Oryzias latipes: one gene and its partner. Each later gene encodes a partner of the first gene's protein in a complex. Links are inferred from orthologs where the notes say so. Each region holds a gene or a part of one and is shown on either strand. Other genes may lie near its edges.

What was found. Proteins that work in one complex are often made in the same cells at the same time.
Region 2: pold2 (region 1) and rev3l share a complex: the UniProt entries of both Homo sapiens proteins name them as parts of the tetrameric Pol-zeta complex. The link is inferred for Oryzias latipes from reciprocal best matches to the Homo sapiens genes POLD2 and REV3L.

What each region holds. Positions count from the first base shown.
Region 1 is NC_019867.2:18,719,332-18,727,989, forward strand, and holds the start of pold2 (DNA polymerase delta subunit 2), read right to left. Parts: upstream 4,439-8,658; 5' UTR 4,315-4,438; intron 4,174-4,314; 5' UTR 4,167-4,173; coding exon 3,941-4,166; intron 3,864-3,940; coding exon 3,742-3,863; intron 3,656-3,741; coding exon 3,532-3,655; intron 3,463-3,531; coding exon 3,348-3,462; intron 3,275-3,347; coding exon 3,076-3,274; intron 2,957-3,075; coding exon 2,876-2,956; intron 280-2,875; coding exon 122-279; intron 1-121. Other genes in the region: nono (non-POU domain-containing octamer-binding protein), read left to right, coding at 4,882-6,198. UniProt on the Homo sapiens protein: Accessory component of both the DNA polymerase delta complex and the DNA polymerase zeta complex.
Region 2 is NC_019882.2:10,261,860-10,269,804, forward strand, and holds part of rev3l (DNA polymerase zeta catalytic subunit), read left to right. Parts: coding exon 1-13; intron 14-495; coding exon 496-4,234; intron 4,235-4,693; coding exon 4,694-5,511; intron 5,512-6,166; coding exon 6,167-6,249; intron 6,250-6,332; coding exon 6,333-6,458; intron 6,459-6,541; coding exon 6,542-6,734; intron 6,735-6,800; coding exon 6,801-6,915; intron 6,916-6,985; coding exon 6,986-7,101; intron 7,102-7,291; coding exon 7,292-7,410; intron 7,411-7,720; coding exon 7,721-7,839; intron 7,840-7,938; coding exon 7,939-7,945. UniProt on the Homo sapiens protein: Catalytic subunit of the DNA polymerase zeta complex, an error-prone polymerase specialized in translesion DNA synthesis (TLS). Lacks an intrinsic 3'-5' exonuclease activity and thus has no proofreading function.

The DNA.
Region 1 (8,658 bases):
GTAAAACCTAGAGTCTAAATTTCCACACGCCTGCAAGATCATTTCAGGTTAAGCAAGACGCTTAACCCGACGCATCAAGACGCTTGATGACAAAAATCGTGTGAATGATGATGCTGCGTACCTCACTCCATCAATGCTGGCTTCAAATGGATTAGAGACCAGCTGCAGGGTGTTGTATGCAGAAGATAAGGGGAACATACATGGGTGAAGAGGTTGCTGTGGGAGAGTGTAGTTGGTTGGATCATACTGGCCCGGCATTACATCTACTGGAACAGAAGCCTTAAAAAACAAAAGAGGCAATACCAGTGAGCAATTACTACACAAAACATTCAAAAGTCCGTTTTTTTTATAAATGTCTCCCAAAACACCCATCTGCTCTGTCTGTGCTTTACTATGTCCTCCAGACGCTGATAAACAAAATAAACTGCAATATTGAGTTTGTTTGTAATTCCTTTATCAAACCACTAGATGGAGATATATCCTTTTTGGACAGACTTTTCCTTTTTTCTTTTTAAAGAAAGAGATTTGTTACAATGGATTATTAATTTCTACTTGATAAAATAATGGATCTTTGCTGTTAGAGAGGTTCCACACTCATCTTGGTTCAGTTATTTAAAAACTAGGAAACAACATGAGGGGATCAATAAAAATATTTTCACCGGAAACTGTTGGCTGCCTGAAGAATCAGGTCTTGGACTCCCGACTGTTTAAGTTAGATCTTTATTGGTTTTTATTGGGTTTTATTTATTTTTGTTTAATTTATTGATTTTATGCTGTTTGTTTTTGTTTGTTGTTTTGTTTTTACCCAGCGTTGTTAAGCACTTTCTAAATAAAGTTGACTTTATTTAGTTTTATTATTGCTGTCTAAAAATTGTTTAAATAAATTGTTTCAGTGACTGGCAAAATATCTCTGTTTTCAGGAAATAATACCGTTTCATAAAGTAAAAAAAAAAAAGGATGTGACCAAAGCAGATGACGTGATTGTTGGTAAAGGAGACACTTTGTAACAGATAAAAGAAATTAAGATCTTTCTCTTTCGGCTTTTCCCATCAGGGGTCGCCACAGCGAATCATCCTTTTCCACCTCACTCTATCATGAACATCTTCTACCCTAACGTTAGCCAACTTCATGTCCTCTGTTAAGACATCCATATATCTCCTCTTTGGCCGTCCTCTTGCCCTCCGGCCAGGCAGCTCCATCTCCAACATCCTTCTACCAATATATCCACTATCCCTCCTCTGAACATGTCCAAACCATCTCAGTCTGGCTTCTCTGACTTTGTCGCTAACACAGGCAACGTGAGCCGTCCCTCTGATGTACTCGTTCCTTATCCTGTCTAACCTGGTCACTCCTAAGGAGAACCTCAACATCTTCATCTCTGCTACCTCCATCTCAGCCTCTTGTCTCTGTCTCACTGCTACCGTCTCTAACCCATAGAGCAGAGCTGGTCTCACCACTGTCTTGTACACCTTTCCTTTGAGTCTTGCTGGCACTCTTCTGTCACACAACACTCCTGACACTTTCCTCCAACCGCTCCAACCTGCCTGCACTCGCCTCTTCACCTCTTTTCCACAATCCCCATCACACTGAACTGTTGACCCCAAGTACTTAAACTCCTGCACCTTCTTCACCTCAGCCCCCTGTAACCTAACACTTCTACCTTGATCCCTCTCGTTCAGACACATGTATTCTGTCTTACTACGACTGACCTTCATGCCTCTTCTTTCCAGAGCAAACCTCCACCTCTCTAGCTGTTCCTCCACCTGCTCTCTACTCTCACTGCAAATTACAATTTCATCCGCAAACATCATTGTCCAGGGAGATTCCTGTCTTACCTCGTCTGTCAGCCTGTCCATCAGCATAGCAAACAAAAAAGGACTCAAAGCTGATCCTTGGTGTAGTCCCACCTCCACCTTGAACTCCTCTGTCTGACCTACAGCACATCTCACCACCGTCATACTTCTCTCATACATGTCCTGAACTACTCTGACATACTTCTCTGCCACTCCAGACGACCTCATACAGTACCACAGCTCCTCCCTCGGCACCCTGTCATACGCCTTCTCTAAATCTACGAACACACAATGCAGCTCCTTCTGACCTTCTCTGTACTTTTCCATCAACATTCTCAAAGCAAAAATGGCATCAGTGGTGCTCTTACGGGGCATGAAACCATACTGCTGCTCACAAATCTCCACCTTCTTCCTAAGCCTGGCTTCCACTACTCTTTCCCACAGCTTCATTGTGTGGCTCATCAACTTTATTCCTCTATAGTTGCTGCAGTTCTGCATGTCACCCTTGTGACATGCAGAACTGCAGCAGATAAAAGAAATTAAGATAAAAAGTAAATAAAACCAGGTTTTGGCAGGTATTTCATGACAACAATTTAAACGATAAGTTTATTGATTCTGTTTATAACAGTCGGTTTCATGGAAAGTAGTTTAAACATAGCAAACAAACTCATCAAATGTTTTAGAAGAAATGTGACATTTTATTTACTTATGTACTATTTTTCCTTCTGCTTTGATTAAACAGGTCAACATTTGTGAAATGTATTGATTTGAATTTCTGATTTCTGGTCACGAGTTTGTCACAGCTGATAGTTTATTTAACTTTGCAATAAAGTGAATTTAAACTAGAAGAATACATAAATGCTTATTCTCTTTTATGTTTTACTCTTTATTTTAATTTTCTAATTTTTGGGTATTTTTTCAAAATAAAAGAAGAAAATAAAACAAAACAAAAAAAGAGTTTGAATGGTGCCAAAGTAAACCCATAAAACAAAGACCTGGCAAACAACAAAATGCGTCCTGCTATATTATAGTTATCGTTGGTAATAGTTTAATCTTAGATGACTTTTACACAGCCGGCTCACCACCAGCTGAAGCAGCAGCTCATCAAGAACACGGATGGCTTCCACACTGCCAGCCTGGGTCTTCTTTGTGAGGTACTTGGCCTGAAACAGGAAAAAAAAGGCATTTGATAGTTAAAAGTAAAGTTCAAAAAGTCAACTTATCCAAAATAAGGACAAAGATGATAAGGAAAGTCAAGTGGTTGCATGTCAGGGGGGATGACCTTTGTTGATGCGTCTTTATCCTGGGTGTTTTGGCTCAGGAGGTTTCCAGCCAACAGAACCCGGGAAATTGCTGCTGCGCCGCTTTGTTCGCCTGTGTCTCCAAGCTGACCGGTGACCATGTCAACCAGCAACTGCAGCCCCAGCATGCTGTCAGCATTGTGGCCCCCTAACCCGAGTCCTGAAGCCAGGAGGACAAACCTGTGCCAAGACAAAGCTTTAATGAGCTGCAACCCTTAACTGCAAAGGTTTACCTGTGCACACCTGAGCTCACCTGTCTGAGCTGAGCGCAGGTCTTGGTGTCTGTAAAGGAAGATCAGCCATGCAAAAGTCCTCAACGGTGAACTTGCCATCGTTCTTTTCAGCTCCATATATTGCAACGACACTACCTAAGAGGGGCAACTTTTTTTTAACATAAAGAATTTATTAAAGTATCAAATATCATCAATTACACTGACCTGTGACACACTTATCTTTATCAAATTTGCCCTCCAACTTGATCCTCTGGAGTTCATCCTCTAAAATCAGCTCATCTGCTTCACTGATGTATTTGGCTCGTGCAGGCTGAGGCAGCAGATTGTGCTGAAAAACAGACGTCCAGGATCTTTAAAATGAAAGGAACAGATCAAACGTGGCTTTGTTTATCCAAAAAAGACCAGACTCCTAACCTCTTCACTGATTTCCTTCAGGATGGATGGCTGCAGCTCCATTCGCTTGAACAAGGTCCCCACAATACAACACTGCTCCCCCGGTTCTAGGTCGCACAGTTTCTTGATAAGAACATTAGATCCTGACAGAGAAGAGGGGGAAAGAAGTATTGGATAATCAAGTGATGGTTAAACTGGCATGCTAACATGATGAACTCACCCCACTTCTGCTGAGCTCTCTCTGCCAGCAGGGGCCTCATCTGCATGAGTCTTGCTGCATAAATGTGAGCATACTGACGACTAAAGCTCCTCTGACCAACTCTGTAACGATCGGAGTACAACTCGTAGGGTAGTGATATCCTTTCGAAGGTAGGGCCCTGCTCCTCAGAGGCAGGGCTGCAGAGAAGAGAGGGGCCATTCTTCTGGGCGCTCACGTCAGAAAACATGGTTTTCCTTTAAAGGAATTAAGTAAAGGAACATTAAAATCCTTGTTAACCAGTTGAATGTTTAAGATTCAGCGTCCCCCTTTACAGCAACAACATATTATGTCACTGACTCATTTCCCTACAAATAACAAAAGTAGAACAACAATACCTTAAACGGGAAGTCCTTTTAGATGTTTTAAGAAAAAGCGCAGTTCCCGCGGAATAGCCCGCTAAAGCTTTTATCGGGAAGTCTCGCGAGACGTTAGTTATGTCTTTCCAGCATATCGTTTATCTAATTAATGTTTTTGATTGTTTATTTGTTTGCTTGTTTGTTTAAAAAACGGTATGAAAATAACATTTTAAAAGAAAACGTGAATGTAATCGTTTTACAAATATTTTTTTAAATAAACTTTATTGCACAATATGCCATTTTACAAGGATATACTTTTAGGTATGCAATAAAAACACAACTGCAAATATCAAATACACATATTTAACAAACAGAAGAATAAGAATAGAAATAAAAATGAGCCAGGGGTTTAAACTCTAAGAGAAATCGTCTTACAAAGATGCCGTCAGGAAATTTTAAGTAGATGTCGCCTACATGTGACGTCACACAACCGTCAGAGCAGCGCACCGTGTCGCCATTTTTGTTACTCTTTGTACGACATTGTTAGCCCCTTGTACTGCTTTTCAAAGCACACTTTACCAGATTTTTTGACTTCTTTGTCAAATAATGCAAGGAAACAGAGGCCCTCAGCATAACCACGGCCACAACCGCCAGGGGGAATACTTCAAAACCGAAGGACCTAATAGCAATGGCCAACAGCCGGAGACCAGCGAGCAGACCAACCCCAACGCGGCCTTAACCATGGACCTGCAGAGCTTCAGGAAACCCGGAGAAAAGACCTTCACACAGCGGAGCAGGCTGTTTGTGGGAAACCTACCCACAGGCGTCACAGAAGATGACCTGGAGAAGCTGTTTGCAAAGTATGGTAAAGCCAGTGAGATTTTTATTAACAAAGAAAGAGGCTTCGGCTTCATCCGCCTGGAAACCAGGATCATAGCTGAGATCGCCAGAGCCGAGCTGGATGATCATGTATTCAGGGGCAGACCTATCCGAGTCAAGTTTGCTACGCACGGTGCCGCTTTGAGTGTAAAGAATTTACCAGAGTTTGCCTCCAACGATCTCCTGGAAGAAGCTTTCGCTATTTTCGGGCAGGTGGAGAGGGCGGTGGTGATTGTGGATGACAGGGGGAGGCCCACGGGGAAAGGCATCGTCGAGTTCACCTCAAAGCCCGCAGCCAGGAAGGCTCTGGATAAATGCAATGATGGTGCCTATCTTCTCACAGCCTTCCCCCGACCCATTACAGTGGAGCCCATGGAACAGTTCGACGAAGATGAAGGACTGACCGAGAAGTTGATCAACAAGAACCAACAGTATCACAAAGAACGGGAGCAGCCACCGCGTTTTGCTCAGCCGGGCTCCTTTGAGTATGAATATGCAATGCGTTGGAAAGCCCTGATGGAGATGGAGAAGCAGCAGTACGAGATGGTGGACCGCAACATGAAAGAAGCTCAAGAGAAGCTGGAGGCTGAGATGGAGGCAGCCAGACACGAGCATCAAGTGATGCTGATGAGGCAAGACCTGCTGAGGCGGCAGGAGGAGCTGCGCCGGATGGAAGAGCTCCACAACCAAGAGGTGCAGAAGAGGAAGCAAGCGGAGCTCCGGCAGGAGGAGGAACGCCGGCGGAGGGAGGAGGAGATGAGGATGCGCAACGAGGAGATGATGAAGAGGCAGCAGGAGGGTTTCAGAACCAACTTTTCTGAAAACAGAGAACAAGATATGATGATGCACATGGGTGGTCACGGGTTGGGCATGAACAGAAATTCCCTAGGTGGGAATTCTGGACCTGCCAATGCTGCTGCTATGGCTACAGATAGCGCTCCGATGATGGCAGGTCCAGCAAACAACATGCCTGTAGGAGGACAGAGCGGCTTCCCCCGAGGCCTTCCGGGGCCTGGAGACTATAACAAGCAGCGGAGATTTTGAAGAGCTTCTTCCCTTGTCTTACTATGCTCACTGTAATTTTCCATTTTGGGTAGAAAGTGTTACTTTTGGACTTTGAAATGTGCATGTGTTTTTTTTTCTACCGTTTTTATTTGTCCTTTTCATTTTATTTTAGTACTAATATGTCATAACTCCAAATGAGCCATGCATTTTCAATTGTTTCTTACATTCACTAGATAGAGATGGAAAATGTTTCTTTGTCCTAAATATGTCAACTTTTCTGGAATAAAGTCATGATTCCTTAAAAAAAACATTGTCTCATTATAATAAACTTATGATTTATTTATCCAACCTTCATTGATCCAGGCAAAACAGATTAACAACAGCATTCTTATTTTCAACGGTGGCCCGATGAAGTGTCATAAACACAGAAGCAAATACTTCACATCCAGCCTGTTCATCCATTCACAAAACAATATCTGATGGCACCAGTGCAAGTATTTGATCTCATTCGGTACATGATCCTCAACATAACCTGAAGGATTCCGTGCAGATTTATGTACAGAGTGAAGAACACTGAACTGGTAATCCAGTGGTTTGCTACAGTAAAGAAGATGGTAAATATAAATGTAGAAGCTATGAAAACTCCATATGAATGAATTTAACTGGTTATTTATTAGCTACTAAGGAAGTGGGACACAAATTTTTCAATTTTGCAAAACAATTCAATGAGATTTATGACTGAAGAAATCCACAATGAAAAAAAATAAAGGTGTTTCACATTGAAGATTTGGAAACTTGAGCAAACCAGTGGTCAAAACTAACAAGAGGAACTACGTAAGATGATTTTGATTTTCAAAGTCAAAATTCAAACAGATGATTTTTGCTTGCTAGCTTGTATGCGCTTGCTGGACAGGTGTCATCTGATAACAAAATTATCATTTTTTCTTATCAGACCCCAAGAACTGAAAAAAAGTAGCTTCTTCAACTATCCTGCAAGTACATCATAAATATAGGTTGATAACAATTTGATGATAACAAACGTGCAAGTGTTCTCTGGAAATGTACGCTGTGAAGTCTGCACTTTGTGCCCTGCAGGACACAAGGTAAGCTTTCTCCTCAGGTTTCTCATCCCCTCATTCTGTTTGACAATCGTGTCAATTTGGAAAATCTTACTCTAGAAAAGCGTGCAGGGTATGCAGGCTATGAAGGTGTCATGCATCACAGATGTTTGTTTAAATTAGTTTTTTATAGTTTGGTTTAAAAAAACAGAAACAGCATCTGTTAAAATAGTTTTGTAAATTAATCTTGCCGCCTCAATGAATTCATGAGCGTGTTCTAAATTTTCTGCTTTAAAATGATAATTTCCCATGCATTTGGCTTCCAGTGCTATTTAGTGCAGAAAAAATATGAAAGCCTTAGAAAATGTTTTTTAACCCTTGTGTTATCTTAGATGACCCCACCATTAATTGACCTTGACAAAGGTGGATAAAGGTGGAAAGAGTTCATGTAATCCATGGACACCAGTGAGGTTCACAAATCATTGAAGAAAAAAGGTTTAGCACACTGTCTAGTGGGTCTAGATGACCCAACTCCCAATGTTAAAGTGCCTAGGATAGCACAAGGGTCAATTGATATTTCACATTTAATAAACAAATACTCTTTATGATTATTCCAAGCTTTAAGACCAAAATGTGGTGCAGTCAAATACAATATCATAACAAGTTAATAGATTTCAGGGTAAAATTAGTGGATGCTTCCTTATGTTTTGTATGTTTTCTTAACATGTAAATGAATGAAAATCAAATTTTTATTGCTTTACTCACTAAAAGGAAAAGGGATTATCGATTTTATTTCGTGGAAAACGAATGTCATTATTTTTTAGTGTATTGTGGTTGTGTCGATTAAGTATCAAATAGAAAGATCTTTTTGAGGGAGACAAAATGAGAATAAAAATGTGTTTAGGTAGTATTTCTCTCAGTCAGTATTCCACTCAAAAAATGAAATGATGTCGTCTATAAGCCTTCAAAGTTCCCATTTGTCTCTTGCACAATAATTTTAAGGACAAATCTGCAGTAAGTCTGCCACTAAATCCAACTGCTAAATACTGTGCTTGAAGAATATTAGCAAAATATGATCTACTCCAAAGGAAAATACCACCTAAACAAAAAAAAATTTGTTTTAGAACAAAAAAGGAAAGCTGAAAATTCATGCAATTGTTTTCACTCAAAGCTGAAAATGGCGTCTGAAGGACAAAATCCTGACCATATAAGTCTTAAATGTTTTCTCTCTCTTTCTTGTTTATTTCTTTCTTCCTGTCTGTCTTTATTATTTTTGTCTTTCCTTCTTTCTTGGCTCATTAAAACTATTAAATGATCAATGATTGTGTTATTCAAGACTGAAAAGGAAAAACAAATACAAGAGAATGAGTGTGACTCAAAATTAAAAGTCTGTTTTTTCATAAATTGGTTCAATTTGTTACAAGTCCTCTGTTTAAAAATC
Region 2 (7,945 bases), on another chromosome or scaffold:
GACGAAAGCAGCGGCAAGTTTTTAATAAAAAATAAATCACAATCAACTCGGTTTTGCTCCCGCTGCCTCTTTTAAATACACTAGCATGCATGTTTTAACGATATGTGTTGAGGTGGTCGCGCCTTAAAACCCGGTGCGCTTTTTATATGTGTTAAATACAGAAAAACATCCATAACTCAAACTATAACCCAGTGTGCCTTATGGTCATGAAAATACAGTATATATCCTCCATCATGAGAAAAATGCTCAAAGAATGTGAAAAAAACAGCAAAAACGCTGTTTTCATTGGAGTGGGTTTGTGAAGTCTTATGTTCATTAACTCCAAATATCTTTGTTGGTTTTTATTTATTACACTTATTTAACTTATATGTTGGTTTAAAAGCCTCAAAATTGCTTCAGTCTCAAAAATAATTCTTTTCTACTGTTTTTATTCCCTAGTGTCAGCGGTGAAATCCTCATGAGCTGCCTCTTTTTCCTCCTCTTTTGTGCTTATAGATTCATCTCTGACAGACAGCGGCTCCATATCCCAGTCTTCACTTGCAGTCACAGAGCTGGTGGGACAAAGAAATCCTTCGTCAGCAAAAGTGTTATCAGAGTGCAAACATCCGGAGCACAGACCTGTTCATATGCTGGACACAGATCAGCCGCTTGACGTGCGTTTCCAGTTAAAAAGCAGCCAGGGAGACGGCAATGAATGTTCTGCAGGGTTCCAGATCAACAAAGAAATGCCCTACATCCAGCCTGTGAAACACCCCATTTCTTGCACGTTGACTAGCAATCCTGACAAGGCTTCAATGGACAAAGAGGACATAAGACCCCTGTGCCCTTATGACAAGAAGTCCTCCATACCTGTGGATAAGTCCGAACTGGAAGGTCTTCCATTTGGAAGTGACAACATCACTAAAAGCAGAAAGATTTATGGCAGCATAGAACACGTAGGGACAAACTGTTTGACTATTCTTCAAAAACACGGCAGTTTTCTGTGTTACTCTGAGCTAAAGTCCAAGACAGAGTTGGACCTCAGTACCATGGACAGTAAAAGCCAAGTTTTGACTAGCATCAGCTCCTCGCCCATGAAAGAAGACGGGTTTGTGAATCCACAGAAAGAAGAAATGGGCCAGGAAACGGAAGAAGGAGATGTTGGTGAGCTGAAAATCAGATATGAAGACTATCAGGAAAATAAAACCGAGAAGACCATTGTGGCCCAACAGGAGGCACACTACAAGTTCTTCCCCAGTGTTATTCTCTCCAATTGCCTCAGCAGGAGGAAGGCTGGGAACAAGAAACCCGTGGACAATCAAGAACTGTCGCCGTCTCGGAGGTCAAAACTTAAAACGTCTAAGAAAAGATTAGGAATGGCAGGTCATAGAAACAAAACAAAATTAAGTCATGACTCCACGTCAACCGGTACATCTAACCTCACCTCCTCCAGCCTCCATTCTGTGACTGTAGAAACCGAGGAGCTCGTAGATCAACCCACAGTAGAAGCTCAGTCAATCGGAGATGAACCAATGGTAATTGTTAAAAAAGAATATGATGAAAGCCGTGTAAATAAACCAATGGAACCGGCGTCCGAGCTGTTAGTTTCAAACTCCACCATTATTACCGCTTCATCTGAGGTACCCAAAGACTTTAAAGAACAAATTCTAAGTCCAGATGAAGATTTAGCTGCTAAAGTTACATGTACCAAACCGTCAGCCTTGCCTGGAAGTAAATACTCCCTGAGGGCCAAACGTAAGACAGTTTGTGACGGTGAAGATGGAGAACACTCGGGTCCCACTCAGTCTAAGATCTCAAGCTCTGTCAAAAAAAGACTCAAGGAGACCAATGTTGCTGGTGGGCTACATGTCAAAGACCAGAAAAAACGAAAGAAAGAACCACCTATCATCATCAAGTACATTATTATCAACAGGTTCAAAGGACAGAAAAACATGTTGGTAAAGATATCCAGAATGAAATCAGGGGAGCAGTCAGTACAGTTGACACCAGACAAACTGGAGCAGTACAACAAACTTGCCCCTCTAAAAGACTTCTGGCCCAAGGTGCCCGAGTCTCCAGCTGTGGAGTTTCCTGTTATTGAGCTCAAAGCCAAAAAAACACCCAAAAGAAAGGTGAAGGTTAACAGCACAAACAAGAAGACACCACAGAAAGGCCTCAACAACACCTCCAAGCATTGGTTAAAACGAGGTCGAGGAGTCAAAAGGGCTAAAGGCTGTCAAAGAGGCCCAGTTCTGCCCTCTCTACCCCCGCCTCGACCATGTTACTGTGAGCTGACAGACGACCGGGACAATGACTATAAAGATGTCATGGTAGAACTGGGCTATCTCTCTGACACATCCCTAAGCCCTGCAGAATCGACACCTCCACGTTGTTGGTCACCAAGTGACCCTCTTATGTACAGTAGTTCAGAGCAATTGATCAATCCTCTTAATGACCCTTGTCTTAGTTCTGCATTTCACAAGCCACAAAAAATGTCTTCAACCAAAGGAGCCCAGCGTAGAACCCCCAAACCTAAGAAACCCCCTGAGACAAAAAGGAAAGTTCGAAAGTCTGCTGCTAAGCCTCCAGAAACAGACAAGCCCCAAAAAGAGAACTCAAAGAGATGTGCTGCTACTAGATGGACAAAGAAAGTTGAAACTAAAACTGGAAGTCCAAAAACCGCTGGAAGACAAAGAAGGTCTCGTAAAAAGAAAACTGGAGAACCAGAAATCTGTGATTTAAGTAAAGACGGCTCTCAGCTTCTGTTCCTTGAAAATGAGCCACTTCCATCAGAAGGTTCCTCTCAAGAGGTCCCACCATTTCAGCAGCCAGTAGACTCGGAAGGTATCAGCCAAGCTGGATCCCAGCCTACACCTTCATCAGATTCCAACTCAATAGCGCAGATTATTAAACCAAAGGTTGAAGACTGTGACACTTCGATCATGGAAATCAACCAAAGTCTTCTAGGACCATCTGAGACGAAGCAACAAGGTTGTCAGACGGTTGTAGTAAAGACAGAGGAGGAAAGCACACCTCCATTACTTTCACATGCTAGTCAGGCCTCACTTGAACACACTAAAGATACCAAGCTACCAGAAGTCTCTCCAAACTCTGGTCCAAAGAATGGGGAGACCCAACCTCTCCCTGATACCACCTCTGGCTTGGCTGTCCTTAAGCAGCTTCTCCAGAAAAGGCAGCAGGGACAGGCTCTTCCCACACAAGTAGTCGGTACCAACAGCCATGCTACTGTCGTAGCCAAGGCAACAGCACTATTAAGTCCTACAGCTAAATTACCCAAATCCAGAAAAGCTCCCTCTACAACTCCAAGGAAACCTAGGACTCCAAAGTCTGCCACTCCCAAGGACAAAAAGCAAGAACCAAGAGGCAAGCAAAACAAGAAGGCCAGGATAAGTAGAAGCCAACCCAATCCATTGCCAAAGCAGGAAGGCAGCTTTTTGGATGACTGTCCACTCTTCCTGTCAGACCCAGAACAAGATGGTTGCAGCTGCATGGAGGGGAGTTTGTCACCAGAGCTCCCCCACAACTACTCTTTTGACATCAATGATATCAGCCGAACGGACTTCTCCAGTCCGTACACCGGCAGTCAGTTTGTCCTGACTGATAAAAATCTACCTGTCAAATTCCTCAGTGACATCAGTCAGGAAGCAGTGTCTGCTCAGACTATTGGGTTTGAAGATCTTCCCCAGAGTCAAGTTTCATCTCAAAAAGGCCTTGAAGGGGACAAATCGAGGCCTGCAAGCCCTGACCTCTTTGACAAATTTGAGAGAAGACAGTCATCATCCAGCCTCGCATTGCTTGATTCTGAGAAACTGAAGAGCAGAGATTGGGACGGCACTTCAAATAAATTCAGCAATCGAAGCCCTTTTCAAGACTTCCACTGTGAAAGAGAAGAATTGCTCTTCTCAGCTTTAGATCCGGTGCCTCCGCTGGCTTTGAGCTCCGCCTCTTTGGTTGAGCATGAGGGCTCCCCAACAAGTGATCTTCTGGATGGCCTCGATGGGCTTACGTCCACCACACCCAGCAGTTCCCCTCAGTCAAGCTCCAGCTCTTTGTCACAGGCGAGGGCAAGCCAGCTTCAACGAGCCACAGGGGGTGGAGCCCACATCCTCAAGCCCCTGATGTCACCTCCAAGTCGGGAGGAGATCCTCAGCACTCTGCCAGACCTGGAGTTGTCAGAGGCCACCTTCCAGGAGCCTTTTTGCAGTGATCCCTCGGACGCCCCTGGTAAACCAATGTAAGAATGCAGAGCACACGCCATCTGCCCCATCATTACCAATGCTTATCGTGGTTTTAAAACTTGCATTGTACATTTACAGGGTAGTAGTTGTACAACTAATAAAAGAAATGCTACACAATTGAACCCATAACGTTCTGTGGACTATAGTAACTCTTAAACTCTTTACATTATTACATCATTTCAGTGGATTTTGAGGTGGAGAAAAGTGGCTTTGCATCGTTGAGCAGCTCTTTCACGTTAGTAATGTGTTGCATATCGTTGCAAAGCCACTTTAAAAGCTGCTTTGCTCCACGTCAGAATCAAATGATTCACTTTGGTGGCATAAAGATTTACGGTACCTTAAACGACGAGTGTTACTTATGTGTTGATGTTGACACGGTGCTCCTCCAGCAGCTGTGGGGAGTTGCTCTCCAAATCTTCTCACATGAACTAAAATCTGCTCAATCTTCTCTGCAGGGAGGTTGGGGGCCGTAAGCTGTCAGTAGAAACCCGGCTGGTGAAGGAGCTGGCAGAGTTCAGTGGGGAACTTTCCCAGGAGGGTCTCCGGTTCTGGAAGATGGCCTTCTCTGCCATGACACGCCCCGCTGCTGCCATCGTCTCTTCTCCCCAAGACGCAGAGGCAGCCGAAGAACTTGTATCGTCCTCGGCCTCCAACAAGAAAGTGATCCTGCTGCCCTGCAGGAACCCGCCGAGCCGCGAGTGCGTGCAGCTGTGGCTGGAAGCCAGGAGGCAGTATGAGAGCCTGCAGAACCGAAGGAGAGACGGAATACCTTCAAAAATGGGGCAGCCTGCTGGTTCTGCCTGTCCGGCTCTGAAGGTTGAACAGGGAGAGAACCAGAACCGGATCAGGACCCAGAGGAGACGCAACCTGAATCTGTCCTTGAATGTGACTCCAGTGAGGAACACGGGTTCGCAGTGCGGGTCCACAGAGCAAAGTCCGGTGTCAGAAGACGGCAGCAGTGGAGACAAGGATGAAGATCCTAAGAGCACCTCCCCAGACTCTCCAGATCTACCCCCGTGGCAGCAGTCTGTGCAGCCGAGTTCTCCAGACACGAACCGCCTCAGCGACCTCAATAGAACCCCAACAGAACGTTCACCCGGGATCCCAAACTTACAGGAGGGAGTCGGAGGGGCCAACAGTCCCTCTTCTCTTCACGGCAGTGATGTGGAGGATGATGGAGCCAGCCCACGCCTGAACTGTACCCCTTTCTCAAGGAAACGGCGTAGATTCATGGAAGACCAGGATCCGATGTGCAGCACGCCCATATCTGAGGGTGAGAGCAGGGTCTGCATGAAATATTTCTGAAAAAAAGAAGTAAAAGGATCAAAAATATCAGTTTTCTTTGAAAAAGACGTCAAAACTAATCAGAGAGAATAGGAGACCAACTATCTTTATCAAAGAGATAAAGATAGTTTTATTATCTCCTTTAGCAGACAAAAACATCCTTTCTTTGCTGTCGCAATACTAAATCCAAAGAAATCATGTTGCACCTTAGTCACATTCACATCCACCTATAGGGCAGTTGTGGCTAAGACTTCAAGTGGAGCAGCAAACATATACACACCAACCAAATTGTACATTTTATTCATGCTGTGATTTGTTTTGGAATCCACCGTTTTAGTGTTTCTTTGTTTTTGATTTCTTGTCTTCTAAGATTATTTGTTCACACGTCTGTCAGAACGCAGCTGCAAGCGTGTTGTTTGGTTAATATTTGTCATTTGTAGTCAAACTTTAAGGGATGTGTTTTTTTTGCTGTCCCGCTTTGGGAAAGGTTGCATCTAAAATGCACAGATCTCTTCTTTTTTCTGTTTATTTTTCTTCTGTCCCCTCTCTTTTGACCTTAAAAAATGTCCCCAAAATAACCTCTATCCTGTCTCTGTGCATCTGAACCAGCAGGTGTCACCATCTCCCTCTCTGTTCTCTTTCAGGAGATTCTGTTTCTCCAAGACTCCAGCGGAGGAGAAGCCAGGCCGATCCGCTCAGACGAGTCTTACTGACCACACAGATGAAGGTCAGGACGTCGTTCTGATGGTTCAGGGTCCTCCCACCTCCACCATTATCAAAGCTTCTTTTGTTCTTGGTTCTTCTCCACAGAACCAGTTTGCTGGCCTGAACGTGCCAAAGAAAGAACATTCTCAGATCGAAGGGCCGAGCATCTCCAACTCTTATGGCTTCAAAGTCAGCATGCAGAACCTGCAGGACGCCAAAGCTCTGCACGAGGTGACCGCCACTTTCTGCTCCATACTCAGCAGAAGACTTCAGCTCTGCCTCCAAATTCATCTGCAGGTTTTCCCTCTCTGCAGGTCCAGCACCTCACCCTGATGGCCATGGAGCTCCATGCCAGAACCAGGCGAGACCTGGAGCCCGACCCGGAGTTTGACCCCATATGTGCCTTATTCTACTGCTTCAGTTCCGACGCTCCACTCCCGGACGCAGACAGTACCCAGCTGACGGGCGCCATCATGGTGGATAAAGACCACGAGCCCGGTGGACGAGGTGAGGATTCATGTGAGGTTCATCTCCAGTTGTGGTTCTGAGGGCTGAACCCATGAACTGTCCCAGCAGGTCGCAGGGAGACAGCGCCACTCCTGGTTCGGTCCGGTGTGTCCGGGCTGCAGGTGACCTACGCCAGTGAGGAGAAGATGCTGTTCCAGGAGCTCGTTGGCATCATGAGGAGGTATGTTAAGAAAGATCCACAGCAGCTGAAGAGCAGAACCATGGACCTGAACCTGGGTTCCTTCCCTCAGGTTGGACCCAGACATCCTGTTGGGCTACGAGGTGCAGATGCATTCCTGGGGTTACCTCCTCCAACGAGCCGCTGTGCTGGGAGTGGACCTGTGCCAGCAGCTGTCCCGAGTGCCAGGTACAAGCAGGAGTCCAGTTTCAGAGCAGAACGTCTGTTCATGTGTCAGAGATGAAGGTCAAAAGGTTTCAATGAGACAAAACCAATGAACCCTAATGTTCTAATACATTTAACCTGCCAGAAGGTTTGGTATGATCCTTTCCAGCGGAGGTGGATGCTCCTCTGACACCATGTCTACTCCTCTTCTCAGGCGACTCTAAAGAAAACCGATTTGCTGCAGAAAAAGACGAATATGGCGCCGACACCATGACAGAGATCCACATCATCGGACGGGTCACGCTAAACCTGTGGAGGGTGATGAAGAGCGAGGCAGGTGTCAGCTGGCGTCAGCTTTTTTCCTAAATCTGGGTTTAGGTTTTTCTTCAGACTACTTACAAATGATGACCGCTCGTTCAGAAGTTTAAGACATTCGAAAAAATGTAAATCATTTTTAACTTAACTGATTGTCTCTTAGTTTTTAACTACATTAAAACTTGCTGGAACAAGAAGCTAAATAATAAATATATATTTTTCAATTCCAGAAATCAGATTTTAAATCTAGATAGTTTCATGAGGATCAATATCTTTTGCTGGAAGAAAGACCAGGATAAGAGCAAAAGAAAATCTGTTTGTCCTCTAGGTGGCGTTAAACAGCTACAGCTTTGAGAACGTGGCCTTCCACGTTCTCCACCAGCGCTTCCCCCTCTTCAGTCACCGCACGCTGTCCGACTGGTTCGACCACAACACCAACTTATACAGGTTCGTGGCTGTGCCTGACGCAATTTTCTGGTCTCACCTGTGAGGCTGGGATCTTAGTTTTCCAGAGAAGCCTCATCAGGATTTTGATGGTCCCTGCAGGTGGAAG